Tamandua tetradactyla: one gene and its partner. The protein of the gene in region 1 interacts with the protein of each later gene in a pairwise test. Links are inferred from orthologs where the notes say so. Each region holds a gene or a part of one and is shown on either strand. Other genes may lie near its edges.

Evidence for each region.
Region 2: the proteins of GAD1 (region 1) and HAAO interact in a two-hybrid assay, tested with the Homo sapiens proteins (4 studies listed by BioGRID and IntAct). The two-hybrid records come from large-scale screens. The link is inferred for Tamandua tetradactyla from reciprocal best matches to the Homo sapiens genes GAD1 and HAAO.

The regions. Positions count from the first base shown.
Region 1 is NC_135329.1:142,415,000-142,430,370, reverse strand, and holds the start of GAD1 (glutamate decarboxylase 1), read right to left. Parts: upstream 8,280-15,371; 5' UTR 8,248-8,279; coding exon 8,166-8,247; intron 4,933-8,165; coding exon 4,870-4,932; intron 1-4,869.
Region 2 is NC_135343.1:14,355,872-14,371,300, forward strand, and holds the start of HAAO (3-hydroxyanthranilate 3,4-dioxygenase), read right to left. Parts: upstream 7,392-15,429; 5' UTR 7,331-7,391; coding exon 7,251-7,330; intron 4,717-7,250; coding exon 4,638-4,716; intron 513-4,637; coding exon 429-512; intron 180-428; coding exon 73-179; intron 1-72. UniProt on the Homo sapiens protein: Catalyzes the oxidative ring opening of 3-hydroxyanthranilate to 2-amino-3-carboxymuconate semialdehyde, which spontaneously cyclizes to quinolinate.

The DNA of each region.
Region 1 (15,371 bases):
AGACAGACAGATGAGACGCTGATGGTGATCAACGTAATGCTAATAGAAAGTGATTGAAGAACTCCAGTGAGATTAACTCTAAGCCCAGGGTGGGATTCAAAGCATCTCACCTCTGCAGCTCAGACATTGTGCAAATATCTCCCACCTGAGGTGAGCAGAAGGGTTGAAGGACCTGCCAACTTGGAATACACTCTCCCTGCCCTTTTCCCCCATTCCCTCTGAGACTCTGGGTCTGCAAACTCGCCCCTTCCCTCAAAATCTTTTTCCAATTCAAACTCAGTCTTAGCCTGAAATGCAACACACGTAAATGCAACACATAAATTAAAAGAGGAAGAAAGTTCTAAGAGCTTCTTGTGAAGCTTTGTGACCCCAATGCTGCCTCTGTAGATACCAAGATCCTCTGGGAACCACACATGTCACAAAGCAGGCTTGGAAGAAAGTCCTAAGAGGTACAAAGGAAAGACAAATTAATCTGTAGGATTCAGCTTTGCTTCCCCAGGACTGTAATTCAATAGTGATGGGTGGAGGAAGGCAGGGATGGTTTTGGTGATTAGAATCCTTCCACTTACAGGAACCAGTGTATTTTTGGAGAGAAGAATACGAAGGCAGAGACACCAGGCCCTTCATTGTTTCCAGCATCTTTTAAAACATTCTAAAGACCTTAAATACACCAGAAGGGACAAAAACAATTATAATAGGGCTCCACACCTAGATATAAAGATGGGGGGGGGTGTCATATTCTTTTCTTCATTTCTTCGCCCACTTTTTGATTCCTCCTGCAAATCTCCAGAGTCCAGAAAATGAGCTGGCACTCATTTGCCAGTGGATGGAGTAGCATCCAGATGGCTGCAGTACACCTACTCCTGAATTCTGAGACTGGTTTCCCAGTCCCAGAACAGTGAGCTGTGGAGTATGCTGGGCCAGAAAGACCAAACCCATGTGGCCTAATGGAGGTGAGGTCCTCCCAGCTGAAACCCCTCTCTCTAGGTCTCTGACCTAGGGCTTCTAGGTCACTCCTTGGAAAAAGCCTTACATCTCTGCACCTTGAGCTTCAGAAACTCCTTTCCTATGGACAACTGCAGGGACCAAGACCTCTCAGGTTTTGCATATTAACTTTAAAAGAGGTGCTGAGACAGGCACTCTCAGAGATGCCATCATAGGGTTGAAAGGACAATTATCATACAACTGCAAATCAATCCTGGACTATACCTCCTGTACTGCACTATGAATCAACATTTTCCACAAATATTGTAATTATGAATATCATAATTCCATTGCATTATAATTTGTGTTAAAGACCATCAATTTGCTAATGTAAACATTTAATGTATATTGTCATTGCTTTCACTCCATTTTGGAAGGTATTTGTTTTAAAAAATATCGGAAGCCTCTAAAGAGGAAGTGACCCAGGCCCTTATTCTGAGAGGCTCAGGAAGGATAAGGATAATTCTCCAAGGATTAGAAGCGGTGGATGACCTAGGTAGAATGGATAATTCTACTTAGTTTAAGCTTGTAGGCAATGGATAACCAAGCTCAAAATTCTTAGAGGCAAAGAGGAAAGTGGAGGAAAGCAGAAGCTGTAGTTGTGTTTGGTTGGTTTTTAACACTCAGGCTGGCTACCAGGAGACCACAGGAGGTGAACCCTGAGGTGATTGTGCCTCTGGGCTGAGAAGGTGTGGCTGCTGCTGGTTCATTCCCCTGCCTTCAGACTCAAACGTCTGGAGGGCTCAGTGAGTGGGGGGTAGCAAGGGGGTAGAGGAACTAGAGAGCATGAACATTCCTAGAGGAAGCAGCCAGTCCTCCATTCCAGCCAGCTGTTTCCACAGAGAGCTGCAAGTTGCATGGGGCATTAGGCACAAGGCCAAGGGGACAAGTGGAGGCTGAAGCCCAGCCCATGCTCTGCCCATCAAGCTGTGTGGCTGGCACAGAACTTCGTCTGTCTGGAGAAAGGGGCTCTTTTTCTGATTTTTATGCGCTAATAACACCCTGCTGGATCACTCCCCCCCCCCCCCCCCCGCCATTGCTTTCTTTTTTCTGCAAGGGAAGCCAGAAATACATATTTGAAATCTCTCTATCTTCCAAAGTTAGCAACTAATACAAATTAAGACAAAACAAAACATACCCTGTATGGACTAAATAAAACAGCTCAGGGACTATCTGGCAGCTAATTTAGGACCTCTGCATAGATAAGTGATGGAGGCACATGGGAAGTTAGTCGATAGAGCCCAGGGCTAGAACTTAGGGCTCCCTATGTCTCTTTCTATTTAGGTCATGCCACCATGCCTGTAGCCACACTCTCCAGCTCTTGGCAAGACCCTGGATTTCTTTTAGCTGATCACTCTCCCAGGGGAATTTTTCCCCCCAGAACCAAGAGTACCACTGATGGGAATCAGGGCCTTCCTTGCAGCCTCACTGCTTGGCTTGGGGAAAGGAGGCTAAGAAGGAGAGTGGGGGCAGGAGGGGGTAGTGTATCATGGCAGGGCATGAGGATGCTTACAGGGGTTACCCTAGGCAGTGAGTTTGGGAGTGGAAAGAGGACCATCTGTCCCTCTGCTATGTAAAGGAGAAATATCAAACCAATGACAGTGGTGGGTCAAGAGGGCACGCTCCCAGCCAATAAAGGTTTGTGATGAGGGGAGTGGTGTGTGTGGAGGGAGAAGGCTGAAGATCCAGAGTCAAAACCAAGGACTGTATTTTACCTCCACTAGGTTAAAATGTAAAGTCAGAGTTAGCCCAGTGTGTGGAAAATAAATCCTCCTGGAGTTTTGTTTCGTTTTCTCTCTTTCCCAGAATCAAAGCAAAGCCTCCTAGCTTGTGGTCCCAAATATAGTGTATTTTAACAGAAGACAATTTCCACTCAACAGACCTATCTTGCCTTTTCCTGTCACATGGGATTCAGCTATTCTGAAATGACAGTGTACTTATGAGGAGGTGGGAGAAAAAAGGAGCAGAGAAGAAATTCTTTAAGGATGAAAGCTCCCATGTGCTCAAGAGCTCTTTCTTATGATTGGTAGCGAGGGATGGGAAATTAACGCCACGTTCGGGCCCCCTATTCTCGGACCCAGAGATGCTCAACTCTTTCCTGCCCCCTTAACTTTACAGGGCATGTCGGGTGTGTCCCCAGAAGGGGCTCTCAGACCTTTTCCCGCGGACCCGAGGCAGAAGCAGGGGTTACAGCCCCACCCGCAAAAGCCAGGAGGTGGGCATGGGGGTAGATGAAGGGCAGCACCCCGGACAGGCAGGGACTGAACCCTTCACAGCTTGAAACGCCAGCGGAAGGGCAGCTCCTCCTACCCGGCCCTCAGATTCCGCGGGCGCCTGGGCTTGGCTCACTCAGTTCTGCTTGTCCGGCTGCACGACAATGACGGCTGCAGAAGCTGAGCGGGGACCTGGCGCGAAACGGACCATTAAGCCACGAATGGCGGCTGGGGGGAGAGGGCTATTTATAGAACAAAGAGCGACTGCCGCCAGCTGCCCCAGCTCCGGAACGCGGCCCCAGCCTCGTCCCGCGGGCCTCCAGTGCTGGGGCGAGGGCCAAACCCTGGGGCCGGCCAGAGACAAGGCAGGGCCTTCCCTGGAAAAATAGCTAGGTCCCAAAGTGGGCATTTCCTCGGGGTAGATGCTGGTTCCCAGGGTCAAGGGGATAGAGCCTGAAATTCAGGAGCTTGGCGAAGCAAAACGGGTGGGGAAGTGGATTCCGGAGGCTGCTAAATAACTCCTTTGATCGAAATCCAAACTGTCGCCGACCGCCCTTGGGGCCCCAGGGAGCTGGGAAGAACAGGCCCAGAGAGCACCCATTTGCCGACCGGCTCGCGGGCGCTGTGCTGGGCGGTGTGAGACCCTCGATGCGTGCCCGGGGCGGACTCCTCTGTTATCTCCCGAGCAGCAGCAGACGAATGGCTCTTTAATAAGCCCCTCGTTAATCTCCTCCACCCCCGCCTCTCCACCCCCTGCCCAGGGACATCCGTATTTTCTGGCCCGATAAGGCTAGACAATTTTAGACTGTGAAATGTACCAAGGAAAGCAAGCGCTCATTGTTCAGCTGGAGCCACTCAGCTGTGTCCCTTCGAATAAATCTCCCTTTCCTTTTTTTTAAAAAATTACATCCCTTGCGCATTTTCATTTCAGACCCTCATGTCTTCGGAGAGCAGTTCTTTCTCCTTTCCAGCTCCCCAGATCTATTTTCCTTCCACCCTGGCAATTCGTGCCTGACACAGGGCCCCACACCCACTTGCCCCCTTTATCTTCCCTCCGTGTCTTTAAGGGCACACCAGGAAAACCCTCCAGACTTCGCCATTGGCACGTCTCCCAGTTAGGCCACCGAGGGAAGCAGGCAATTATTTTTCCTATCCCCGAAGCCCCGAAAACGAAATCTTAATCCGTGATAACATCTTGGGTCAAAAACCCTCAAGCCTGAGAGGTCACTTTCAATTTTCCCAGACTTGGGGGGTGGGGGTGGGGGTGAGGTGGAGGGGAGAAGGGGACAACATGTCAGCCAGTGGCTTAGGCAGATACCGAGCCTTTGGCCGGCTCTGCAGGAAAGTCAGACCAGCTCACGTTTTCAACGAGGCGGTCGCGGGACTCGCCCGCAGAGCGCAAGGGTGGGAGGCCCAGGTTCTGGGCCGGAAGACCCGGGCTGCCGTGCGGGGGCGCTGTGTTCACGCTCTTCCGCCCAGACGCGGCTCCCTGCGATGCCTCAACAAGGTCTCAGGCAGTTGGAACTCCCTAGGAAAGGGAGGACTCGGGACGGTCAAGTCCTGTGAAGGCACCGGGGCTGTAGCACTTTAGAAAACCAAACCCAAGAGCCGCACTCCTCACGAGCGTCCCACTCTTCCAAGCCGAAAGGCACCCGTGGGCCCTTTGACTTACCGCAAATCTTGAGTCCCAATTTTCTGGTGCATCCATGGGCCACGCCACACCAAGTGTCATACGCTAGGATTAATAAAGAGCGAGAGAGGTGCTGTCAGTGAGGCTCGGACTATGGGGAACAGGGTGGAGGGTAAAAGTTTTCTCGGGGGTGGGGGCGGTGTCTTCGCTAGTGTTCCATATTAAAAGCCCCTTCCTGAAAGGAGCGGGAAGCCAAATCTGCAGTCAAACGGGCAAGCTCGTGCCCTCCGAGCCCCATTCACAACCTCTTCCTCTTCCTACCTTTAGGTACAACGGCATTTCTGAGATGCAGCGTACCCAGCGCCCCAGGATGCTGGAAGCCGCCGATGTGGGATAGGGAGGGGCTGACCTCAAGCGGAAAGGACCCGACCCGGCCCCGCCCAACACCCACCGGCCAGGCCTGTTCCCTTGGTCTCGGCCCCGCAGGCTACCACAGCGGCCCCGGAAAGGGAACACAGAGGCATCTGGGACCGAAACGTCTCATCATTTCTTGGCGGGTCTCCAGCCGAGTGGCAGCTTAAAATAAACTGGCATGAAATGGGGTCGCGGAAGAGTTCAGGAATTAATTGGGTGAAAAATAGTATTTGACTAGATGATCGGGCTCGCATGGCTGCCCTTCACTCGGACCAGGGAGGCGGGAAGACAATGGTGCACCTCCCGTCTTCAGTCCCGTCGCCCTCCCCCAACCTGCCCCTCATTAACCCTTCCCTCCGACATCTCTGCTCTGGAGCAGGCGAAGACAATTTTTCTTCTTTACCAGGCTATTTGTAAACCCGTGAGAGTCTACCTGCCTTGGGGTTTAACTTCCAACAAAGAGCGAGGAAAGCTGCCCCGGGCCTGCGGAGTGAAATCTTCTTCAATCCCCGACGCTCCGACACTCTGACCCCTACCCCCCATCCCACCTCACCCCACCCCACCCCACCCAGACCCGACCCTCCAGCGCGAGTGCTGGCTGCGATAAGGAGAGTGACATTCATTAAACCCCAGGCACAACAGAGCCCCAGAGGGGAGCGGAAACAGCCCGGTGTCGGTAAGACATCCCAGATGGGTGCGGGAAAAGATCTATTTCTACCTGATAAACTGCTTTCACTTTAAACACCATTTCCTCTCATCCTTGTAACAAACCTCTGAAATTGGCAGGAGGAGTGTTAATCTAAGACCAATTTACAAATAAAATCATTGAAGCTCAGAGAGGTTTTGCGAGTTTTCCAAGGTCATTCAGAGTTCAAACACCTTGCACTGTCTTTCAGAGTTAGGGGTTACAGTGAACAAAAGGGAAAGGCAGATGGGGACAAGGAGCGAGAGAGCCCCTTTAATGCAGGGGGAAGCCCAAGTGGCGGACTTCATCCCCGAACCAGGGGTTGCTGAGCAAAAAGCCAAGTAAAGTTGTGCGGGCTGAACAAGGCCACCTCAGGAGACCTTGCAGGAGTGGAGAAGAGCTGCCTGGGCGCAGAGGGTATGTCTGCAAGGAAGGGTGAGAATGCGTGGAGAGCCGGGCATATGCGAGCAACCAAAGGGCGCCGACGCCCAGGATGGTCTGTTAGGGGGTGGGCGGGCAGCAGTGGTCCATGGGACAGGGGCAGCCTGCTCTCCCTGGACGCGTCCCTCAGCTCAGAGGCTCTGTTCTGTGCTAGGGCTCCCGCGCACTCGGGTCAGAGCCTCTGCTGGGTTTCCGAACCCAAGCCGGGTATAAGCGCCCAGCCACGGGCGGTCGTGGGGATGTAGAAGCGTCGGGCGGAGGGGGAGGGCTCAAGGATGAGTGAACACAACGGCCTCCAAGCCTCTCCAGGCAGCAAATAATAAATAAATAAATAAATAAATAAATAAATAAATAAATAAATAAATAAATAAAAAAGGGGGCGGGAACGTAGCGAGCACAGGAAAAGGAGGCTAGAGCAGAGAGACAAAAGGCACGGAAGCCTCGCGTTCCTCCGGGCCTGCTCCGGCCAGTTTGGCCTTCAGTGCCGGACTCGCGTGCCACCAAGGCTGGGCAGCGCTCCCGCGTCCCTCTCTGTTGTGCGGTTAGTAATTATAGTCCGCCCCGGGAAAGGGAGCTGCAAAGGGAACTGGAACGAGGCCTGAGGACTTAAGGCCTTCTGCCCAGGAACCAGTGGCAACGGCAAGGGGCTGGAGAGGGGGCTTAGCCCGTAACACTCCGGTTCGTTGATGGGGACAATTGACGTTTTCTCAAGCTGATGGACAGTGCCACAAAAGAGCTACAATCAGCCCTCCTTCTAACCCAGTGTCGTCCCTCAGCCCCTCCTACATAGAAATTCTGGGGTCATCACTCTGGAGCTGATAGATTTGAGGAGGGAGAGGATTTCATTCCAATATGGAGAAGGAAAAACAATTCCCTTGTCTCCACACGCCTCTACCGAGAGGTAGAAAATCAATCTGAATTAAAGGCAGATTCTGGAAACGAGTTGAGAAGCGCGCTGAACTAGCGGTGAGGAAGCATAAATCCTTCCCCCTGTTATCTGGTTTCTCCCTTCTTTCCCCCTCTTCCGGACGTATCACCTGCTGACAGGATTCCTCTGCCCAAGAGATAGGAGAGTCTCCGCCCGCCCTGGCAAACCTTCCTACCGCCTCCCCCCAAACCTACCTCTCCACATTCAGTATGCTGCTCGCTCCTTTTTTTTTTTTTTTTTTTTTTGGTCTGTCTCAGAGATGTAATTAATAGTCTGAAATGTCGAGCATTAGCCTCAAATCATTTTATGCACCTTTCCCGCCCCTGGCTTCTCCCTCACTCAATAGCTCGACGCAAATTTGGAGCAATTAGGGACCCTGAGTTTTCTACAAGCTGCAATTAACGTCGAAATTTCCGCTGATTACAGACTTTCAGCGCAGCGCAGGGGGAAAGGAGGAGGGGGTCAGATCTCGACTCAACGAAAGCCGGAGACAGAAAACTCTATTCCCGCTGGGGCTCCCCGCCCCTCACATTTCCCCCAGCGCTGACCCCGGTTGTTCCACAAGGCAACGAAACCACACACACAACAAAAACAAGGCTCACACCGCGCGCCCTTCCCCGGCCGCGGCGCCCTCAGCGATCCCTGTACCCAGACCCTGAGTGGCTTCGTCTCTTGAGCGCCCGTGAGGTGCCCAGCGCCCCCAGAAGCCGAATGACCTCTGGCCGGGCTCCGGGTCAGGGCCGCATTTATTTCCGAGCTCCCTTCATCATTTTTGCGCCCCCCTTTCCTTTCCGCCGGCGAAGCTCCCCGTGGCTCAGCGCCCCCATCTTCCCCGCAGTACATTTGACAGGAAACTGGGGCGGGACCTACTTGTGGGGCGCAGATTGGTGGTATTGGGATCCGCTCCCGCGTTCGAGGCGGCGGCGGACGAAGAAGGGGTCGAAGACGCCATCACCTCGGTAGTCCCGGGGCCTCTGCTGTCCAGGGTCCTCTGCGTGCCGTGCGCAGGATCAGGCTGCAATGAGAAGCTAGAGCTGTGCTGGTAGAGCCTCGGGGGTCCCGCGAGCTAGAAACGGCTAAGCCGCTGGGGGCACGGACGCTCTCCTTGGAGTCGGGGAGCCGAAGAGAGAGGAGGGAGGAAGGGCAACCAACTGGCTGGGCTGGGGTGCGCCGGGGGGAGGGGGGAGACGTGCGCGCTAGCTCAGGGACTGGGGCGCCCGCAACGTAGACCCGGGCGACTCTCCACTTTGGCGGAGAGGAGACCTGGAAATGCTGCTCTAAGAGGTTTCAAGCCCAGCATGGGACCCAGGGATGCGGGGAACTGGGCTAGAAAGCAAGGGAGGCTCAGTGTGCGTTTTCCCAGCCGAGAGCGACAGGCGCCACTGGGCACTCAGCAGCCGGAGCACCAGAGAGCAAGCAGGGGGAGGGCGCACGGGGAGGGCACGTCTGACTCTGTGTCTGGTTCCAGTTGTTGTGTCTGGCTAATTCCCTGGAAAGAAGAACGCGAATTGCCCCGGGGACCGGAGACTTTGCTGAGATAAGGTGAGGAGGATAAGAGGTCGATTCATTCATGTTCTTCCTCAAACTTGGCCGGGGAAGGGCCACAGTCATCCTGTACCCCAGACAGCCAGAAAGCAGTGAGTCGGGACCTCGCTTGTCTTCCTGTGATCCCACCCCTCTTTGAGTCACCTGGAAGCCTAGGACGAGGCTCGGTCTCTGTTTGGGTGTTTCTCCAATTGCCCAGCTCCGCCAAGGACCCAAGATTTCTCGCTATACAAAGCCCGAGAGGTTATAGGAAGCAAGAAAGGGGAGCGTCACTGGGGAAATGAACTTGCGACCAGCGCGCAATAAACAGCGACCAAGGATCGCTGCGCGGCGTCCCTAAGCCGCGCGCGGCGCTGGCGCTGGCGCTGGAACGGGTTAGATGGCGTCCGAAAGACCCAGGACAGAGAGAGTGAGGGTGAATCTGGGTATACCTAAGACCCCGCAGAGAAGCGCCTACAGCCGCCGCCTCCACTCGCCCCCAGCCTCACAGCTAGCTCGCGCGCGCACACGTACACGCACACGCACGCAGCCCACAGTAACGCTAAAGACCCGCAGACCGCAGCTGCTGGGGAAGTAACAGGTTTCCGCTGTGAGTCGCGCCTTCAGCTACTACTGCCCAGGCACCATTTGGCTAGGTGGGCGCTTTCAGCCGAGGAACATAGGAGAAACCGCTCCGGTCCCACTTCAGCGCGAAGTTCATTCAGCCTCTATGCTTCGCCAGGGCGCGAATCCCGCGAGGAAGACAGAATGCCACCTACAGAGACCCAAGGGCGGGGGGTTGGCCGAAAAGCTGCGGACGCAGGGGGCACAGCTGAACAACAGAGGCTGGGCGCTGGGCAATCCAAGCGCCGGTACGCTTACCCACTTCAGCCCTGCAGCCACTAGCCGGGCGCTCCCGCCGCTCCTCAGCAGCGCCCGGCGATCCGCTCGGCTCGGCCCTGCCACCGGCGTTAACTATCCCGCGACACCTCCAGCTGCCGCCTCGCTCTTGCTAGCTCCGTCCCGCACGCGAGCGTCAGGAGGAGAGAAGAGAGATTCCGAGAGGTGGCTGCTCAGCTTCAGGGGAGGCGGGGGCGGGGTGGGGGAGGCGGGGACCGGCTCAGCGGGGGAATCACGAGGCCGCTGCTTGCGGGGGCCGCTGGTCGGCGGAGTGGCGGGGCTTCTTTGCGGGTGCCTGACCGCCTCTGGTGCTTTATAGGGCGATTACAAACCCAGATCACGGTTTTGCGCCAGAAAAAGAAGACCCTATGAGTAATCCAGAATGTACTCAACACGCTCCAATTTTTGAAATAGGGTGTCGGATGAGTGGTGGGAAAAGATGATTCCTACGGAGAATTCTGCCTCTGAGCTTTTCTTTCTCCCTCCCTCCCTTTCCTACCCTAGCCCCCGCCCCCGCCCATATCTTTGAGGAGACAAGAGAGTGACTTTGCCTCAATCTCTTTCTCCTAGATCTGGGATTCCAGGACACTTCATATACGAAAACGCACGGTGGGTTCTGTCCTCGCTGGCGCTCTGTTGAGCCAGGACTGTTGTAAAAGCAAACGAGGCATCTCCATTTCCTTCTCCTTCCCGTTTCCTGGTTCAACTCGGGGCCTCTCCAAAGTACCTCATCTGAGCACAGCTACCTTGCGTCACGGAGCAAAAAGTCCTCCTGATTGATTATGTCTGAAGGTTAATAACACGCACGAGCGCCACTCCAGACACAAGGGGAATGAGAGCAGAGAGGTTGCCCCGGGGACAGGCCTTGGGGAGTCACCTGAGGTCGGACTGGGCCTCCCTGTCCTGGCCGACTCCCCTGACTCCCCCTTCGATTTCACGTCCTTTAAGGATTCTCCCTTTGCAAATATATAAACGCATTTAATGAAATGCCGCGTTTCGCTAAAGCCCCTCGTTGCTAAAAGACGTTCATGGGAAAAACTCCCACCAGAGGGCGCCAGGCGCCCAGAGACTCGGAGGCCTTGGGCTCGCAGTGTCTTTTCCTCCTGCGCCGGAACCAACACCTGGAGCGGCTGGTTGGGCTATTACTCCCCAGCTTAAACCACCCTCTTCGGTAGTCGATATTTTCTCTTCCCTGAGTTTCTTTTTATTTAGGGCAAAACAAAGTGGATTTGTGTGTGCATTTGGGTGACACTGTGTAATCACTGATTCCTTTACTCGTTTTCACGGTGATTTTTTGTTTCTTAATGTGGTGCAGCAGGCACAGTCGAAACACCGAAGATCTTACAAATCATCGAAAAATTCCATAAGGAAGATCGAAGATAACGCTGGGGGAAGATGCAGTTCGATCAGTAAGAGGGATCTCGCTGTGAGATTTGAAATAACCGCGTTGTCCTTGATATCCAGGAAAATACTGTCGCCCTCTCCACCTCACAATAAAAGCGCGGACACACTTTATTGGCAAACGGGTCCTGAACAGCGGGCGCACGGTAACCGCAGCCCCGGAAGCCAGAGCTTTGCGCTGGGCAGGGGTGGGCGTGTCGACTGTGCTAAGGAAATGTCCCTTCGAACCGCTCACCCAGCCCTTTTCCGCGACACTTGAAATGCGCGGTTTACAAACAGGTGAAGCTCGGAATTCCCCCCACGTCGCTACCTCGCGCCTTGGCTGAAAGAGATCGCACGAATTGGTCACACCAATCAGGGAGCGAGATTCCTTGGAAAGGAAGATTCGTTTACTTCACTTGTAGCACCAGACTGAGAAATTTCCAGTCACCCCTCCTCTGACCCCAGAGTCCAAAATGTTTACTCTTAACGTTTAATCAAGAAAATAATCTTGTTGGGAAAAGGAAATCTTCTGAAGATTAGGTATCGCAAATTAAAACTGAGTCCACCCAGCCGCGAGGACAATCTCCCTTCGCTTTCTTATGGTGGAGAAGGGAAGAAAGAAGATTCCAGCTCTTCCTTAGTTTAAAAATGTTTAAATTTAGTAATTAATTAATTAAACGCGTATTTATTAGTCACCTACTATGTGCCAGACATTATTCTCATGGAATTTACATTATCCTTAGAGCTTATATTATAGCTGCACTCTTGGATATGCAAGGAGTGTGACAGACAAGATCTCATGGCGTTAATTTAATTTCCAATTGCCTCGCATTCCAACTCAGACTCTTGGACTCAGCGGGGCTGGTAAGGGACCAAGATCCTTGGAATCGCCCAGTTCGTTTCTTGAGTTCGGAAGCAGGGGCCGATTCCTTCAGCACCAAGGGCAGCGCCCGCCGTTCAGGCCCACAAGGTCCCCTTTTCGTCCGCTTTCATCATCTGTTCTTTGCCTACCTGCCCCGCTATCCCCAGCCTTCTTCTACGACTGTAACAGCTGTTTGTTTTGCAGGTTTGGGGTTTCTCTCCCTCTTCTCTCCTCCCCTGGTAAGAATCTGGACTGAAGGTGGTTGTGATTGTCTTTCGGCTCTTGAGGACATTTGAAATTTATTTATATTGTTTCTGTTTTCGGCTCTTCTTTGTATTTTTATTACCCTGGGGGCGGGGAGGAGGGGGCAGGATGTTTGGGAAAATTGAGGGTGGAAAAGAGATATCCTCTCCAGGGAAAAAAAGATATCCTCTCCAGGTCCGGTGGTGAGGGGTGGGCCGGAAGGGAGTGGTGTCCGCTCAGCTGTTTGGTTTGCATATGATCTAAGGTCTGGCGCTTTGAAGAAAACAGAACAGAACGCCCAGAGGCAAGGGCAGTGGGGGTTGGGTTGGGTGGGGGTTGCGGGGTGCCGTATGCAACCCCCTCCGGTGTTTCTCCCCAGCGTTGGGATTTGTTATCCGGCAGCCCGGTTGCTAGTTCCTCTCCGCCGAGGACAACCTTCCTTTAGGTCAATGATTGCTGGGAATTGGGAACATGACCCTTTGCCCACATGCCCTTTCCCCGGGACGTTTAAAGATATTTCAACCGGATTTGGGGCAGAGACTTTCTTACAAAAAAACAGGGGGGTGGGGAGGAGGTAGAAGGAGCATGGGGGCATAAGGGCGTGAAGACGTGCTAAAACGGGCTCGGGGGGAATTTTTTGGCGTAAAATATGGTCCATGTCAAGGTGAGTAGATGAGAAACGTCAATCTTGTTTTGTTTTTTTTTTAAACGCATTTAGCATTTATAGCCTCCAGAAAAGGTAATTTAGAGCTACTGGGTTGGTTCATTTCAGCTGGCGCTTTAAGGTCTATTTTAAGTCTCTAATTTATGACCAAAAAAGAAAAAAAAATGGCAGTGCTCACATTTAAACGTCTGTGTCCCGAGACGAGGGCTGGGGGAAGTGTTACTTAACCTCACATTCTGCTTTTTTTTTTTTTTTTAAGTGGGAAGCAAGGTTCATTTAGGGTGTTTGAGTACTTTAAAGATAGTTCCCCCAAATCATTCTGGACTTTCTTTGGAGGACTATAGCTAAATCGACACCTCTACCCCGATAGACCACGCAACATTCACTCTATGGAGACAGGAAAGGGTTAAAAGAGTGGCAGGGAGGCAGGGTTCCTGCCAGCACATTGGAAAGGACTCCGGAAATTACAACAATTTCCCCTAAAAAAAGATAACTGAATTCCTCAGATAATCACCAAATGATCCCTTCCCCCCTTGACATTTAGAAGATGAAATGTTCTAATCAAGGAGGACAGAGTGATTTGTATTTGGGCAAATCTTGTGCAAATCTGAATATGCTTAATTCTTGCTATTCCTAACACGTAAATGAATGGACCACCAGGTGGCGATGGATTACAATTTCTAAGAAGAAACAGGCCCCACAAGTGAGCAGTTCTTCAGGGGAAGGCAGGTTCTTCCCAGCTCACACTCATACCCAGCCATATTTCACAAAAGAAGGGCCTTTTAAAAATGCTGCTGGATGCTGCTGGAAGTGCCCTGAAACACTCAGGGTCTTCTGTCTCCTCAGGGAAAGAGAAAGGGATGCCTGCCATCCATTTCTTTCCCACACAGCCACATCTTTAAAGGTGGCCTTAGGAAGTGAGCTGTCTGATTAATATCAGACAAGTAGCTGTTTCATTGCAAAACTGGAGACCAAGGAAATAACAGATCTGAATTGTAATTCTGACAGAGTTTTAAAGATGTAACTGTGTTTTCTGCTTTCCTCTCCTTAGTCTTTTCCTAGAATGGGGTACAAGAAAGATAATTTCCCATATTTCTTTTAGTGTAAAAGCTCTTGAGCTATTTACAGTAGTAGGTATTTAGCCTCCATTTTCAGTTAGGTATCTGAGACTGTTGTTTGTGAGAGGGTTCTGATTCAGTTGTGTGGAATCTGATAAACTTCTATTTCAGATCACATTTTCCTAATCCTGGCCAGTATGCAGGGGAGAAAACTGGAGCCTTAACAGGAGGAATTCATTGTTTTCACTCTAACCAGATCCCCTTCATACCAAGAACTTTTAGGTCAGAGCTCACTGAAATGTATTCTGGTCCAAAGTTCTCAATTGGATCATTTTTAAATCAGTTCCAGGGGATTTTCTCAACAAAGTTAGTTATCTGGAGCTCATTCTTTCTACTAAGCTGCAAGTCTGAGGTCCTGTTTTCTTTGCCTATAGAAGACCCAAAGAACTTGAAATCTTAAGCAATTCCTAAGTGTGAGGATTAAATGAGAATTACAATCTTCTTACTGGGGCTTGAGGCATATTGTGTCAACTTCATAGCCAGGAAAAAGTCAGGGACAAACATCAGAGCATGGGACAAACATCAGAGCATGGGAGGCTTGAATGATTAAAACTTTTTTCTTTCCCTAGATCAAGACTGTGTAACCTCCCTCCACCTCCAAACCTGTTGCTGTTGGGTGCTCAGATATGTGATTTTCTTTGGCCAGTGGAATGGAGCTAATTGGTACTGAGTTTGGGGGTGATGTGTTATGAATCATTATTGAGGCAATCACTAATGAATATGCTCTCTCATACCAAGGTCAAGAGAGAACTGAAGTAGGACCCAGGGAAAAGTCTTAGGATAGGCTACCCAGGATTTCTTACTGTGAGCCCAGTCTGGTGCGTGGTGGTGGTGGTGAGGTTAAGAGACTGTTGGTCAGGAGAGACACCTAAAGAAATATCAACCTACTTCAATACAGCCAGCAAAAGCACAATGCACACAGGTTCTGGTGAGCATAGAGAAGAGATAGAGCTATTGGGCATGGGTTCCCCATTGCAACAGGTCAATCCATGGCTGACACAGGGAGACGTCCCATGCACAGCACCCATCTCTTGTGTTCATATGCTGCCCCAGTGAAGGAACCCCACTCCCTCCCTGTGAGAGACAAATGTACCACTGGGGTATGAGCCAGATGTTGTAAAACATGCCTACCAGAGTCAAACTGTCTCTAGTGAATGTTTACATATGCTTGGGATAATAGAGGAAGGAATGCACCAGCAATCCCCTTATCAACTAGGGGTTTGTGTTTTATCCCGCCAGGCTGACACACTGATTCTGAGTAAAGGATGTATTTGTGGATTCCAGACCATGCTAGGACTACCCACTACCACAGGGACCTCTTTCTCTTTCCAAAACCACAAGTGATAGAAATGGTCATCCTTCTATTACAAAAATGAGAAATA
Region 2 (15,429 bases), on another chromosome or scaffold:
CTGAGCTACACCCCTCTCCGCCGCTTGCCCCCCTGTCTCTCCGCCCAGCCCCCCAAGACAGGGCCCATTTACCTGAGCCCATCTAGCTCAGCTGGCAGCCGCCTCCGCTCTATCACCAGCCCCACGGTGTCGGCAAACCTCTGAGGCGAGTGAGGGATCCTGGCCGGCAGCAGGAAGATCTGCAGTGGCGGGACAAAAGCCCGGCAAGGATGCGACCCTTCCCGGAGACCCCAGCCTGGCGCAGCTGACCCATGGGTCGGCAGGGGGGCTGCTGCTCGCCCACCCAAGGCCCCGCCTCTCAGGATGTGCAGAGGAGGGGGCGGCCGAGAGGAGGGAGTGCTGGGGGCCGGGGCGGGGGCTGGTCAGGCAGGGGCGGGGGTGGGGGGCAGGAACAGGCCAGGGGGCGTGCGCAGGTGGGCCCGCCTCACCTCTCCCTGCCGAATGACCACATCCCGGTGGGTCCCTCGTTCTAGGACGCGGAGAACCATGTCACCCTCCAGCTGGTAAAACACCTGCGGGACAGCAGGGAGGCTCGGATCTCCCCCAGCCCCTCCCCCAGGGCCTTGTCCACTGCCCAGGCCCTGAGTTCTGACTGGGAAACTTGAGAAACTTCCCAAAGGCCTCGCAGTTTATGAACAGCTTCTGCCCCAGTGTCCCCTGATGCAGACCACAGACAGGAGTGCTGGGGACACATGGGGACCCCATCTCAAACACCCAAGGGGTGATCAGAGTACCGGCTGGGGCAGGGGGCCGGGTGGGGCGCTCACTGGTGACCCGTCACCCAGGTAAGGGGACCACCTGTTTACTAGGGGTCCTGTCGTGTGCCAGGAGCTGTGGCACCACTTCCGTGTACATTATCCAAAATTGTTACAACAATCGCCAAAGGTATTAGCACCACTTTGTAGGGAAATCCAAAAACTGAGGTTTAGAGAGCAAAGCACCTTGCCCAAGGTCACATAGCTCGTGAGTGCTGGAGCCGCAGTTTGGACCCGAGCTGGCCTGTGACTCTGGAGTCTGCCTGGGGAGATGGCCCGGCCTGGGGGAGGTTGGGGACGGGGGGAGGGCACCTCTCAGATCCCCTGGAGGTCACAGCGCTAAGTGGTGGATTCAACAAGGCGGGAGACATGGGGTGGGCTGCAGGGCAGGGGGCCTCTCCCCTCCTGCTCTCTCCTACTGCACTTTTCCCTTTCCTAATCACCCCACAAGCAGGGGGGAAGAAGGGGCAGATTCCTGTCCCTCTACCAGCCCCACGTTAAAAGCCCCCACCAACCAGCTAAAGGATATTATTATTATTTTTTATCACAGTAGGAATTAGAGGGGATGGAGGTTCTTATCAGAGCATCCACTAAGAGAAATCAGGCCTGAGTTCGAGGACTCCAGAGAAATGTGGTTGTAAAGTCTGCCATGGGGCACAGATTGGCACCTGCCCCTTGACCAGCCGCCTGGTTCACCTGCACCACGGGGGGTTCCGGGGCTGCAGGACTTTGGGGGTTCATGTGGGGTGGTCCAGGCAAATGAGGACGCTGGGCTGCCTGTACTCCCAGCCCCCCCGCCCCCCGCCCCCAACCTGTTCTATCTCAGGCAATCACAACGTTCCTGGTGGTGACACACGGGCTGCCCCGGCAGGGATGGCAGTTGAGAGCATGGCCTCCAGCCCAGGAGACCGGCCCTCCGCTCGGCTGGGGGCTGTGGGACCTCGGCCGCTTCACTGGGCCTCTCTGTTCCTCCGTTTCTTTCTCCCCAAAATGACAGTCGCTATCCAGAGGGGGCTGTGAAGCTGCCTGGAGGTCGGCGGGGTGCCCAGCCCACAGGGGACGCTCAGCCGGCCTCTGTTACTGTAAGTCAGGGGAGGAATAGCAAAAACTAAAAATAAAAAAATCTAATAATAGGGGAAATGTAAATATTTTACAGTAGATTCAAAATAAGGACCATCGTCCAGCCATTAAAAACCATGTTTTTGAATAACTGTGAAGAAAATGGGAAAATGGAAGATGCTGAAGTTATCAGGTTAAAGTGAGATTCAAAAATTATACCCAGCAGGACTTCAATTGTGCAGAAACGCGGGCCAGCTGCTCCGAGGAGCTCCCCGCAGTGGTGGGTGACGGACAAGGTATATGTCTCTCTTTTTAAAATTTCTCATGTTTTCTACGATGAACTGTATTTGCTTTTATTATTAAAAACAACCCATAGACCTTATTTGAAACAAAAAAGATAAAAACCTACCAGGCTCCCTAAGGGAGCCATTTGGTACACCTCTCGCCTCCCCAGCTGGGGGGAAGCCTGCGCGCCCGCCTGTGTGTGCATGTGTGTGTGTGTGTGTGTGTTGGATTGCTATCACAATGGGGGGAGGGAGCAGGAGCCCACATAGTCCCTAGGAAGGGGCCACAGGCCTGAGGCCCTGCACACACCAGAGAAAAGGAGGGGACAGACCCGAGTGACTGCTGTGCCAGATCCCAACTTTTGCTGGGCAGGTTTCAAGGTATTAGTGCTCATCAAATAAAAATAAAAGAAAGAAGCAGAGTTGTCCTCTCTCATCTCCCTGCCCAACAGCCTTTGCAGCGATGAGAGGCAGGCTGGGCCGGGAGCAGGGGTGCAGATCACAGAACAGAAGATAATCTCAAACAGCTGAGGGCAATCCGAAAGGAATTATTCTCCGTTTGGAAATAAATGATGTTTTGGGCCTGGGGCAAGCTAGAAGATTAAATGTGCCGGCTCAGACAAATATTGCATTGCATCTGGCTTTGCTGGCAGGCGAGGCAGGGAGTGAGTAAGGGTGCAGGGAACTGAGGTGTATTCAGCACCTACCCTGCCCCGGGTGCAGATAGCACCCCCATACCCCAAATGCACTCCCTCCCAACAGGCAGGGCTGTCCCCATGTGCCACAGGGAAATAGGCTCAGAGAGGTGACACGATTTGCTTAAGATTGCAGGACCAGGCAGACTCTAACCCACGGCCTCTGACACCCCGAGGGAAGAGGTAGGTCAGTGGCCATGTGCAGAGGGCGGTGCTGGAGCTGCGAGCCAGGGATGGGGTCAGGGCCACCTGAGGTCAGACACCACGTGCCTCCCAGTCCACCCCCACCCCTCCGAGCCCCTGGGGAGCCTGCAAGGTGGGGCAGGGGGCAGGGGGTGCGGGCAAGGAGAGCTGGATTCTGAGAACAGCTAAGGACAGGGCCTCTGGAGGACGGGGCAGTGGCTGCGGCTGAGCGAGGCGGGCTGGGGGACCTTGCTGCTGGTCCTCCCCACCCCACCCACCCCCCCCACCCCCGACTGTGGCCCCGTCTTTGTAATTCGGGATTGTCCTGCTGATTCTTTCCGCACAGGAGAATGGGCTCCACAGAGGTGTGTCTGTGGGACAGGGGTGGCCCGGGAGAGGTGGGGGGCCCTGGAGGCAGCACCCCCAGGAGCAACCCTGCGGGAGGCGAGGAGTGGGTGGTCCTGCTCTGCCAACACTGCTTCCCCCAGCCCCATGCACGTCCCCCTGCACCCCAGAACATAAAAAGGTGCTCAGGGAATTCCTGATGAGGACCAAATAGCTGTGCTCCCTCCCATCCCAGCTGTGGCCAAGCTGCCAGTGGTGGGAGCTGAGGCCGGTGACCAAGACAGACTGTGAACTCCAGAATCTGGGGGTGGGGGGTTCTGCAGGATGGCAGGCAGGAGGCCCCCTGAGGGACTCTTCTCCACCAGAGATTCTGAGAGCTGCAATCCGCCTCCCGCCCTCCTTAAGGGCGGCCCAGCTTTTTGCTTTTAATTCTACATTTTTTTATTTACTTTTGGGTAAGTAATACAGAAACAGTTCAAAATTCAAGGTACAAAATGGTATTCAGCACAGTTCCCCTCCCCCCACCCGTCTGCCCAGCCTCACAGCTCCTGTCAACTGAGGTGCCCTGGGTGCTAGTTAAGGCCTACAGGTGAGGAGGGGGCCTCCCAGCCCAGCCGCCCCCTCCACGTCCCCCTCACCCACCCCGGCCCCCTGGTCACCCCGGCCTCCCCCCACTCCCCACCTCCCTTCCTGGATTTGGCCTCCTGCCTGTGAGCAAGGAAGCTGCTGACAGCCTGGCTCCTGAGACCACAGGGGACACGCCCCCTCCCCTCCCCCACCAGCCCGCTACCATCCCCCCTGCTTTTGGGAGGCTGCCCTTGTACACTGGGGGCAGTGGGGAGACCTGGGCGTTCCACCTGGCGCACCGAACCCCTGGGACTGGGGTGTGTGTCTGGGTGGATGTATGTGTGTGTGTGTCTGTCTTTGAATGCCTGTCCCTCTGTGTGTGTGTGTGTGTGGCCCCCACATTGTCTGCCCAGCCTCTGACCACTGACCTCTGACCTCTGACCCAGCAGGGATCCCCGGCTGTTTCCCAGGGACCCCCACGTAGAGCCCACTGGCTCCGACTTCTCAGAGGACAGGGCTGTCAAAGGGGTCACTGTGGAGCGCCTCCCACCAGGAGGGCCGCAGACTCCCCCCTATGATTTCAGTTGTGGTCCCTTCCCCTGCCCCTCACGTCAGCCATCTGTCCACATCCCTTTCCCATCCAAAGCTCTGGCTCTTGCAGAAGAAGCGCCACCCCCCTTACCCCCACCCAGGGACAGCACTCCCTGCCCAGGGGGCTGGGTCAGGGGCGGGGCAGTCCTCGGGCTTACCTCCTCCCCCTCCTCGATGTGGAAGTCCTTCCTGGTGTTGGGGCCCCCAACAAACATGATCTTGAGCTGCTCCTGATGCCTGTAATGGACAAGGGGGGCGGTCCTGACCCCTGTTTGGGGCCCAGGACACCTGGGAGAAGGTTGCAGGTAACCGCGACAGTTCTGCATCACTGTCCCTGCTGGGTCTCCCAACACCTTGTCTCCCTGCACTCTCAACCCCAGTGTGCACATGTGCATCTGTGTGTGTCTGCCTGTGTCTGTGTCTTTCTGGATGTGTGTTTGGGTGGATGTGTGTGTCTGTCTGTCTGTCTGTCTTTGAATGCCTGTCCCTCTGTGTGTATGTGTGTGGTCCCCACATTGTCTGCCTAGCCTCTGACCTCTGACCTCTGACCCAGAAGGGGGAGCAGCCTTGGTGGTGGATCTACAATGACAGGAGAGTGAGTTGAGGCCTCCTCTTCCCGGGACTTTTACCAACCCCCCAGCTGTCTCCTTATAAGCACCTTCCCTCTCCCCAAACTGCCAGGCCCCCCTCAGGGGACTCACGGGTCTGTGACATTCAGCAGAGGCTTCAGACATTATCCAATCAGCCTGGCATGGGGTTTAAAAACACAGGCCCGGAGCCAGCCTCCTGGCTCAGATTTGTCTCTGCCACTGAGCTTGGGCACATTACTTGACCTTGCTAAGCCTCAGTCTCATCATCTGTAAAATGGGGTCCTTACTTCAAAGAGTTCACCTAGATGACATGAATTACTATTTGTGAGAGTGCAGAACAGTTCCTGGCCTATGGTAAGTGCCACCCTCTCATTTTACTGCCAAGGAAACAAGCCAAGAGAGGGTCACACAGCCAGGAAATCATAGAACGAGCCAGGGCCCAGGTGTCCTGGCCACGGGGCACTGCTGTTTGGAACTTGAAGGGTGCCCAAGTGCCAAAGCCTGCCTGCTGTGGGTGTGGTGTCACCTTTTATAGGGAAAGACATGTATATGAGAGCCAGCACCTGCCCCCCAGCAGGGTGTCATCTCAGGGTGTGGGCACTGAACCTAATAAGCCCATTTGGGTTCCAGGGCCTTGTCTCATGGCCATATTACAGATACCAGGGCAAAGACTTTGCTGGGAGAAGGGGAAGTGCTGGGAGCAGGGTAGGCAGGGCCCTTTGCACACAGGTGCCACTGCCAATTTTGTGTAGAGGCTGCCTGCGCTGATGATGATGCTGTGTGGCAGCAGGGGTGGGCTGTGAGGGGGCATCTGAGACCCCAAACCTAGACTGGTAAATCTTTGCCGAGTGCCCTCTCCTTACCCCTCAGCACTGTTTGCCTGCTGTGATAGGGAGGGGGACAGGAAGGAAGATGTGGTCTCTTTTCTTTCCCTTCCCTTTTGGAAGGCAGAACCTAATAAATGAGAAGCACACACCCAGAATCACGCGCCAGAATGTGAAAGGACAGGTCATGGGGCATGAGGAAGCTGACATGTGTGTTTCTGAGCTGGGCTTAAAGCTGTGTAAGGTTGCCAGGAGTGGAGAGAAGTGGGAAGGAACATGGAGAAGGGAGTGGAGGGGAAAGCAGGACACAAAGGCACTGAAACTGGAAGCACTGGGGGCCCTGGTGGTTTGGAGGTATCTTAAGGAACGATGGGGAGGTGGGACCAGGTCGCCCCAGGCCTCAGGAGCCAGCTAAGGTTTTTGGACTTGGCTAGGAGGCACCAGTGAGCTCAGAAGGTCCTTCTTTTGTTGATCAACTTTACTGAGATATAATTTAGGTATATGTGGAAAGTTCTTGAACAAGCCCACTCAAGAACTGTCAAAACTTCCAGCAGCTTCTCCGACCTCTGTGGCTGCAAGGTCTGCCTGCCTTTGCCTGCACCCCTTGTTTATTTCTATTTATTGGCTGCCTCCTCCCATTAGAATATCAGCTGCAGGAGGGAGGGATTTTATCTGTTTTGAGCCTCCACCCTTTGGACCTGTCCTGCAGACTCTGCAAACATGGGGAGCACGAGCCAGGAGGTGGGGGCGCACCTGCCGGAAGAGAAGGGAGGTGATGGGGCCAAAGGGAGCCCGGCCTGAGAGGTCTGCTCGAGAGATGGCAGCGCCTGCTGTCAGCCCTGTCGGGTGCCACAGGCAGGGGGAGCTCAGGGAAAGTCTCGTGGGAATGGGTGTGTGTGCCTGCAAAGAGGGCCCAGGAAAGGGAAATAAACTAAGATCGCCCCCAAAGGAGCGGGTCCTCTGACTTCATCCTGGGTTCCACTGCAATTCTGGGGCATCTAAAAGCACCCTCCCCAAACCTTTGAGCGTTCCCGAAGCGGCGAAGAGTTAGTGGGGGTTGGAGAACTGTTTGTGGGTCCCGGGGGGAGCGCGGCAGCCCTGCCATCTCCATTTCCCACCGTCTCGGGGGGCGAACCAGCCCTGGGCATTAGACAAGGTCCCAGCCCTCCACGCCAGAAAGAGGAACAGACAGAGAGCTGGGACCCGGAACAGCATGCAGAGTCCAGGGCAGTGATAGCCCCTTGCTGCAGCTTCTGGGTCAAAGGAATTTGGGGCTGGAGGGTGAGGGGTGACAGGAGCAGACGGGGGGGACAAGGCGGCGGAGACGGCGCGGAGACGGATGCGGTCGGGGACTCACAGCAGCTTGTTGCACACGGGGGGCAAGAAGGACGCCCGGTTCTCCTCCACCCAAGTCTTCACTCGCACCGGCCCCTCCATGGTCGCCCGCGGCGCCGCGGCCCGCCCGGACCCTTCTCCTGTCCCGGCGTGGGAGGAGCGCGGCGCCGCCCCCCCGCCGATTGGCCGCCGGGGCCCGAGCAGCCCCGGGGTCGGCGCCCCCGGCCCGGCCCCGGCCCCAGCCCCGGCCGCCGCCTCCGCCCTGCCTCTGGGCCTCGAAGGGGCGCCCCCGCCCGCGCCGCCTCGCAGCCCGGGAGTCGCTCGGGTGTCCCGACCCTGCCTGGCGGCTCGTCGCCTGACTCTCCTCCCGGCCCCCGGGGGGGCGGCCCCGGGGACATCGTGGAGCGGAGACGACGCGGGGTGGGGACCCCGCGCCTCCGAGCCCGCGGGTGGCGGCTCCGGGCTTAAGTTTCAGTTCCGTACAGGAAAAATAGTTACAAAAACCCCTCCGCAGCCGTCCCCCAGGGTGGGGCGCGGGCGGGGAAGAGCGGGTGCCAAGCGGGCGCCCCGTTGATGTCCGCGCCTTGTCCCCTCGCGAGGGCCGAGGTCGGGCCAGAGAGGCCGCAGCGCTGCTGAGAGCCGCTGGCCCGGGACAGGCAGCGCTCGGCAGGGGACGCGCGGCGGGGCTGCGGGGGGCCCCCACCTCCCTCCCTTTGCCCGAGCCTGGGGTGCGCTGTGCCGCGGAGCCGGAGCCGAGCGGGGCGCGGTGGTCGGGCTGCAGCGTGGGGGCGAGCGGGGGCCGCGGCGCCGGGCGCTGTCGTGAGCGCTTCGCGTGTCTCAGGAGCACGCCCAGGCGACACCACGACCCTCGGAGGGGGCGATGGCTTCCGCGGGCTTTGTCTTTTAGCACTGGGATGCCCTCCTGCCCCCTCCTCCCGGTCTCGGAAAGCCCCTTGGCAGCTCCGAGGGCAGAAGCCCACCCCATGGGTGCATGCATTCACACTAAAAGAGGGGAAATGATTTCAGCCCAGCAGATGTCCTCTTCCATAGTACAAAGGGAAGGATGGTGGTTACTTTATAACTAAATAGCAAGATAATTGATGCTGCAAAGCAGAAGTTGGGAGGTCGGGATTATTCAGATTGATTTCTACACTGCCTAAACTGCTGCTGCACAATTACAGTCGAATAGGCTCCCCGGTTTGTGCTGTGTAGACAAGACCTCACAAACTCAGCTGGCAGACTGCCCAGCTCCAACGTGCTGCGCCGTTTGGCTTTAACGCTCAGAAAAGGGACCACTCTCCTTTGATCAGGTGTCCTGACATTGTTTAGTCACAGCCATCTGGAATCCTTCTGGATTTTGACCTTTAGCTCCTTTTTGGCCTCTGGACTTCACCTGCTCCCTTTAGCCCCCCTCCCCGCTGCTCAGTCACACCACGGAGTCAGGAAGCACTGCCTGCCCTAGGAGGGGGGCTCATCAGGGCCTGTCCTGCTTGATGGTGTCTGTCCTGCACCACCACCATCACCCCCCAACCCCCCAACCCCCCAACCCCCCAGCTGGGGAGGCGTGGGTGGAGGCCTCTCCCTTTGCTGAACCTGATAACCATCTGATCCCTTCAATCCCTGCTGGGCCAGGCTAGAGGCTGGCTCGACCCATAGTCCTGGGGACATTTCTGCTCCAGCCAGTTCCTTTCTCAGTCCACGTTGGTTTGTCTCTATCTGTCTCTCCCTCCTTGTGTCCTCCACTTTGTCACTGTTTCAGAAAATGCACCAAATATTTAAGAAAAATATCTTTCTATGAATAAAAGGGCTAGATCATGAACTATAACTGGTTCTTTGGAAATCTGGGTTCTGGTCTTGCTGTCTCAAGAGTTGTCAACTCTTGAGTTAAAAGAGACAGCAAGAAATTTTTAAAATTTCTAGATGTATGAGTGGTTTTTTGTCATTTTTTTTTTAGCTATCATCTTGGTTTTCATTTAGAATTTTACTGCATTGTAGTGAGTAAAAATAGCCTACATATTATTTTTGGGGGGTGGTGGAAGGATATGCTTAGATTTACCTTGCATCTCTCCTATGGTACTTTTTTGTGAATGTTCCACGTACCTGTGAAAATAATGTATGTTCTCTGCTTGTGGGGTATGTAGTTCTAAATACTCCTATGAGATCAAACTATTATGTTACTTTATCCTTTTTTATTTTTTTAACTGTTTAATATTTTGGTTTCTGAGAGAGGTATGTTAAAGTCTCCTGCTGTAATTTTTGGTTATTTTCTCCTTACAATTTGAATTGATTTTGCTTTATGTATTTTTTTTTTGTATGCTGTGCAGTAGGGGGTCATATTTCACTCTTGTCCGTGTGAATATTCCGTTATCATAGCACAATTTGTTGATTTTTTTGTTTTTTGTTTTTTTGGTACATAAGCTAAAAATCTATGTTTTTAGATGTTAAAAGTTTCATAACTGTTACATCTTCTTGCTATAATGTTTCTTTTATAGCTAAGAAATAGTTCCTCTTAGTATTTTTTTCAACTTTGATTACAAAGTTTTTGATTACAACTTTGTCTGATGTGAATATGGCTACACTGCTCTGGTTGTCAGTGTTTTCCAGGTATGGTATGTTGATTGAAAAGATGTCACGGTAATTCCTTCCCTCTCTGAATCCATCTCTTTGCTGTGTGGCCCTGCCCCCCTCCCATCAGCAGGGGAGCACGTGTCCCCACCCCTTTGAGTACGGTGGGCGTTGTGACTTGCTTTGAACAACAGCAGGGGGCAGAAATGCTGTTGTGGGTCTAGCCTGCAGGAGGCCTGGCAGCTGTGGCCCTCACCAGGTGCAGAAGCTGCGGCTGCCCTTCCTGGGGTGAGAGACCACGTGCAGAGAGAGAGCAGCCAGCGGCCAGCTCCAGCGTTGTAAGACTGTCTCCCACCCTCATCCCAGTTGAGCTGTGAGACACCTGTGAGTGCCTGTGTCCTGTGGGGTGGGGGGAGAGGAGGGGCGGGGGGCGGAAATTGGGGTGCAACCAGCAGGTGACCTGCCCTGCGGAGCTCAGGTCTAATTGCTGACCTGCAGAATCATAAGCGAATAAAATCATTGTTACTTTGAGGCGCTACATTTTGGGGCGGTGTGCTACACTGCAATAGATGATTGAGACAGCAGGTGTAGCCAGAATCTTCCTGTGTTGTTTTACCTCTCAAGAATGGCACAGAGGTGGAGTTTTAAAATCCAATCTGAAAGCCTGTCATTTTATAGGTAGATTCATCTGTTTCATACTTGTTTAATTATTATTATTTTTTTGGTATGCTGTATGGTGGGGTCACATTTCATTTTTCCATGTGAGTATCCCATTATTGCAGCACCATTTGTTGAATTTTTGCTTGTTTTTTTTGGTGGAGGGGAGGTGCACGGACCGGAAATTGAACCCAGGTCTCCTACATGGCAGGTGAGAATTCTACCACTGAACTACCCTAGCACCTCACTCCCCCATATTTGTCTAATTATTGGTATGTTTGTACTTCTTCCTGACGTCTTATTTTGGGTTTTCCAGTTACCATGTTGCGCTGCTGTAACAAATTACCACAAACAGTGGCTTAAAACAATACATCCTGTACTTCTGGGGGTTAGCAATCCAAATTGGATTTTATAGGCTAAAACCAAAGTATAGGCAAAGCTGTAATTTTTTCCTAGGTGTGGTAGGGGACCGTCTGTTTCCCTGACTTTTCCAGCTTCTAGAGGCCATCTCCATTCCTCTGGCTTGTGGCCCTTTCCCCCATCGCAAGGCACATAACTCCAACCTCTGCTCTTGTCGTCACATCTCCTCTTTCTCTGACTCGCTCACCTCCACCTTTCCATTGCAGGAGCCCTTGTGATTACATTTGACCCAGCCAAATAACCTAATATTCTCCCCATCTCAAACTCATTTATTTAATCACATCTGCACAGTCCCTTTTATCATGTAAGGTAACATATTCATAGATTCCGGGTATCGGGACCTGGAGATCTTTGGGGATAGGACATTATTCTGTCAACCACACATGTATTCTCCTTGTTTTTTCTTTTTTTCTTCTCTCTTTCTTTCTCTCTTTTCTACTCTATCAGGATACTTGTGGCTGTAAGTAACAGAACCCCCAGCTCAAAGCATGGCTTAACCAATAGTAAGTGTCATTCTGGAATCTGCTTCTTTTCATCCCTCCAGTCTGCTCTCTCAGTGTTCCCTTTACCCCAGGGCTGGTGTTTTAGTTTGTTAAGGCTGCTGGAATACAATTCCAGCAATGGCTTTTAAAAAGGGAATTTACAAGTTTACAGATCTAAGGCCATAATAGTGTTCAAGGGAAAGATAAGGCATCCAGGGAAAGATAACCTGACTCAAGAAAGGCCCATGGGTCCAGAACACTTCTGTCAACTGGGAAGGCATGTGGCTGACATCTGTTAGTCCTTTGGCTTCTAGTTTCAAACACCTTCCCTGGGGACTTTTTCTTTCTGCATCATCAAACATCTGAATCTGGTGTTAGCGCTGAGCTGTTTCCAAAATGGTTCGCCCTTAAAGGCGTCCAGTAAGTGACCCACCTTGAATGGGTGGAGACGCATCTTCATGGAAACCATCTCATCAACCGACTTCATGTCATGTCAGTTGGAAATTCAACTTCCCCATTTGGAGAATTCCTAATATTATAGATATCCCCTTTTTAGTTTAAGGTGTGTTAGAGAGGGTAGAGGGAAGTGCCTGAAACTGTAGAGCTGTGTTCCAGTAGCCATGTTTCTTGATGATGAATGTATAATGACATTGCTTTTGCAATGTGACTGTGTGAGTGTGAAAACCTTGTGTCTGTTGCTCCTTTTATCTACAGTATGGGCAGATGAGTAAAAAATATGTATTAAAAATAAATAAATAATAAGGGGAACAAATGTTAAGACAGATTGAGTAGATTGAAATACTAGTGGTCAGTGAGAGAGAGGGGTAAGGGGTCTGGTATGTGTGAATTTTTCTTTTTTCTTTTTATTTCTTTTTCTGGAGTGATGCAAATGTTCTAAAAAATGATCATGGTGATGAATATACTACTATGTGATGATATTGTGAGCCATTGATTGTATACCATATATGGGATGTTTGTTAAGAAGCTTCATGTTTGTATGTTGTTTTGGCTTGTCAATTAAGAAAAAAAGTTAAAAAAAAAGATTCCCTCCCAACAATGTTGAATGAAGATCAAAGAAGACGGCTTTTCTGGGCCACACAACAGTTTCAAACTGGCACAGCTGGATCCCTGAATGGTCAGGGGGAGTCTCCAGTGGTCACCAAGGCTATTGGCTTCCTTATTCATATCCAGTGGGGGGGGAACTGACCACCCATAGCTTTCCCTTAAACCAGGGCTCCTCAGTCTTAACACTCTTGACATTTTGGGTCAGAACGTTCTTTATTGTGGAGGGCTACTGTGCATTGTAGGATGTTTGGCACCCCTGGCCTCTACCCACTGGATGCCAATGGCATCACACTCATCCACCTCCAGCCTGCACACATCACCGAGTGTCCCCTGGGGGGCAGTGATGCCTGCAGCCCTCCCCTCTGTGTTACTGCCCACAGGTGGCTCCCATGCCCACACCTGAACCCAACTACTGGCCTGAGAGGGGGCAGGAGACTCGTTGGCTTAGCCTAGTTTACCCTTGTAGCTGGGGTGGGGTCAGCGTCCTCCCAAATCTGAGGTTAGGTCAGCGAGGGGTGGGATGCTCAAACAAAACTGCGACTGGGAAATGGATATGACACTTGGGGGGCAGCTAGCAACATACACCACCCCTGGTTTATAAGTTTTCTTTGATCCAGTTGGCCCCTCCACAACCTATTCCCATGTGTTTGGTGGTTATTCTTTAAATAAATGCATACATTGGAACTGTAGATTTCTGATAATGTCTGTTGTTAATCAGCACGTGTGTCCACCCCTTCTGTAAAGAAGAGCAAAGGAGCTTGAGCAAGCTTTAATTTCCTTCTGGAATTCCCTGTCAGGAACTTCCATGTTGCTATTATTTGGGTTATTATTTAAAGTTTTTATACAAGCAATATCTAGATGTCATTATATATTTTACTAATGTATTTGTTTTTGATTGTTTCTTGCATCCCATTACTTTTTCCTGGATTCATTATTGTGTGTATGTCTTTCTTCAAGAACTTCTTGACTTTTTTTTTTTTAAACATCATTTCTTATCTATTCTGTTATCAACTTCTGGAATTCTGTGGATGAATGTCGGAAATTTTTCATCTTCATGTCATTTAACTCCTTTTTTTTCCTGTTTTCCCATCCCCTATTGTTTTGCATTCTGACAATATATTACCTAATCTTCCATCTTCTTGTTCTACTAGTCAGTCCATCTCCTAAGTTTCAAATTTCAATGGTTTCATGTTTTTATTTACAAAACTTCTCGTTGGTTCTGTTTCACACTTGGCTTTGGTTCATGGATGTGATAATCTTCTTTATTTCTTCAGGGAAATTATCTGTTTGAAAGTGTAAAGTCTATACTAGTGAAGGTTACCCTAGCTGCTATAACGGGGGGAGAAACATGCCAGACTCAGAGGTTTAACATAACGGAAGTTTATTATTTTCATATAGTCCAATGGGGCCGTGGCGGTGCTCCACACAGCCATTTAGGGACCCGATGGGACCGAAGCTGACGGAGAATCCTGACTCCTCCATCACGTCGCTTCCAGCTGGCAGAAAGGGGAAAAGAGAGAGTGACAGTTCTTATGGGCCAGGCCTGTGCAGAAGTGGTGTGCATCGCTTCTGCCCCCTTTCCTTTAGTCTCCCCAAACTTCAAAGGAGTCTGGGAAAGGTCCAGCTATGTTCCCAAGAGGAAAGTGAAATAGGTTTGGTGAACAACTTGCCAAATTTGCCACGTAGTCCTGTTCTGGTTGTTTTTTTAATCTTCGGCTCCCCCAGGTATATCTTTCATCTCTTGTCTCTCTCTCTTCCTCAAACGTTTAAAAGTTTAATGACACTTGTGCAAAGCCATCTTTAAGTTGATATTCTCTCTTAGACTATTTGTTGCTGCTACTTGCACAGCCCTCTTAGGAAAAGAGGCAAGGGTTGCACTCTGTGCTGTTTTCAGAGGGAGTGGTGACAGGCAAAATCTGCCACCAAGTAGGGCTTCTCGGCAGCTGGCCTTCTGGGCTTGGGCACTCCCAGCTTCTCCTGGGTGCTCCCAACCGGGTGTTTCTCTGTCTCTCTGCTCTACATTCACTGCTTCCTCCCAACACCCCAACACAGTTGCTGGACCATGAAGGGGACAGTGTGGGGGTCACACACAGTGTGACCTCCCTGCTCTGGCTTCAGTGCTCTAACTAGCCACCCTAGCAGCTGTCCCTGGATCCCCTTTCACATCTTCATCCTCCGTGGGTGTGGGCACCCTCACCGATGCTCCCATCCTCCTTGGGGGGCTCTCCTCTTGGTTCCCCTGTGCATTCTGGGCAGAAGTCTTTTTCTTCAATCTAATCTTGCCCTCTTTTAGTCATTCCTTGCAGTTTCAGTTCCTTAGTTTCTTACAGTTCTTGGTCTATTGAGATTTTTCCTCATGTTCTAGTACAGCTATGTATTTATTTTTAAGCCTTTCATTCATTGGATTTGGTGCAGAAGGGAAAGATTGCAGCATGTGCTCACCCTGCCATTTTTTTTTCAATAGAAAAATATATTTTTATCAACAAATCTTCACACACATATAGTCCATACATGGTGTACAATCAGTGGCTCACAATATCATCACATAGTTGTGTATTCATCACCATGATCATTTTTCAGAACATTTGCATCACACCAGAAAATGAAATAAGAAAGAAAAAAGAAAAAACCCATATATCTCATACCCCTTATCTCTCCCACACATTGACCAAGTATTTCAATCTACCCAATTGATTTTACCCCTTATCCCCCTTATTATTTATTTTTTACCCATATTTTTTTACTCATCTGTCCATGCCCTGGTGTTCACAATCACACAGGCACACTGTCAAAGCTATATCGTTATACAACCATCTTCAAGACTCAAGGCTAGGAGGCGGCCAATATGGCAGCTCAGCGCGGTGTGGGATTTAGTTTGTCCTCCAGAGCAGCTACTAAATAGCCAAGAACAGTACAGAACAACTGCTGGGGCCATGTCAGTGACCGGACACACAGCGTACCCCAGTCTGGACCAGCTGGACCGGCTGTGAGCCCCCCCAGAACCGTGAGTTC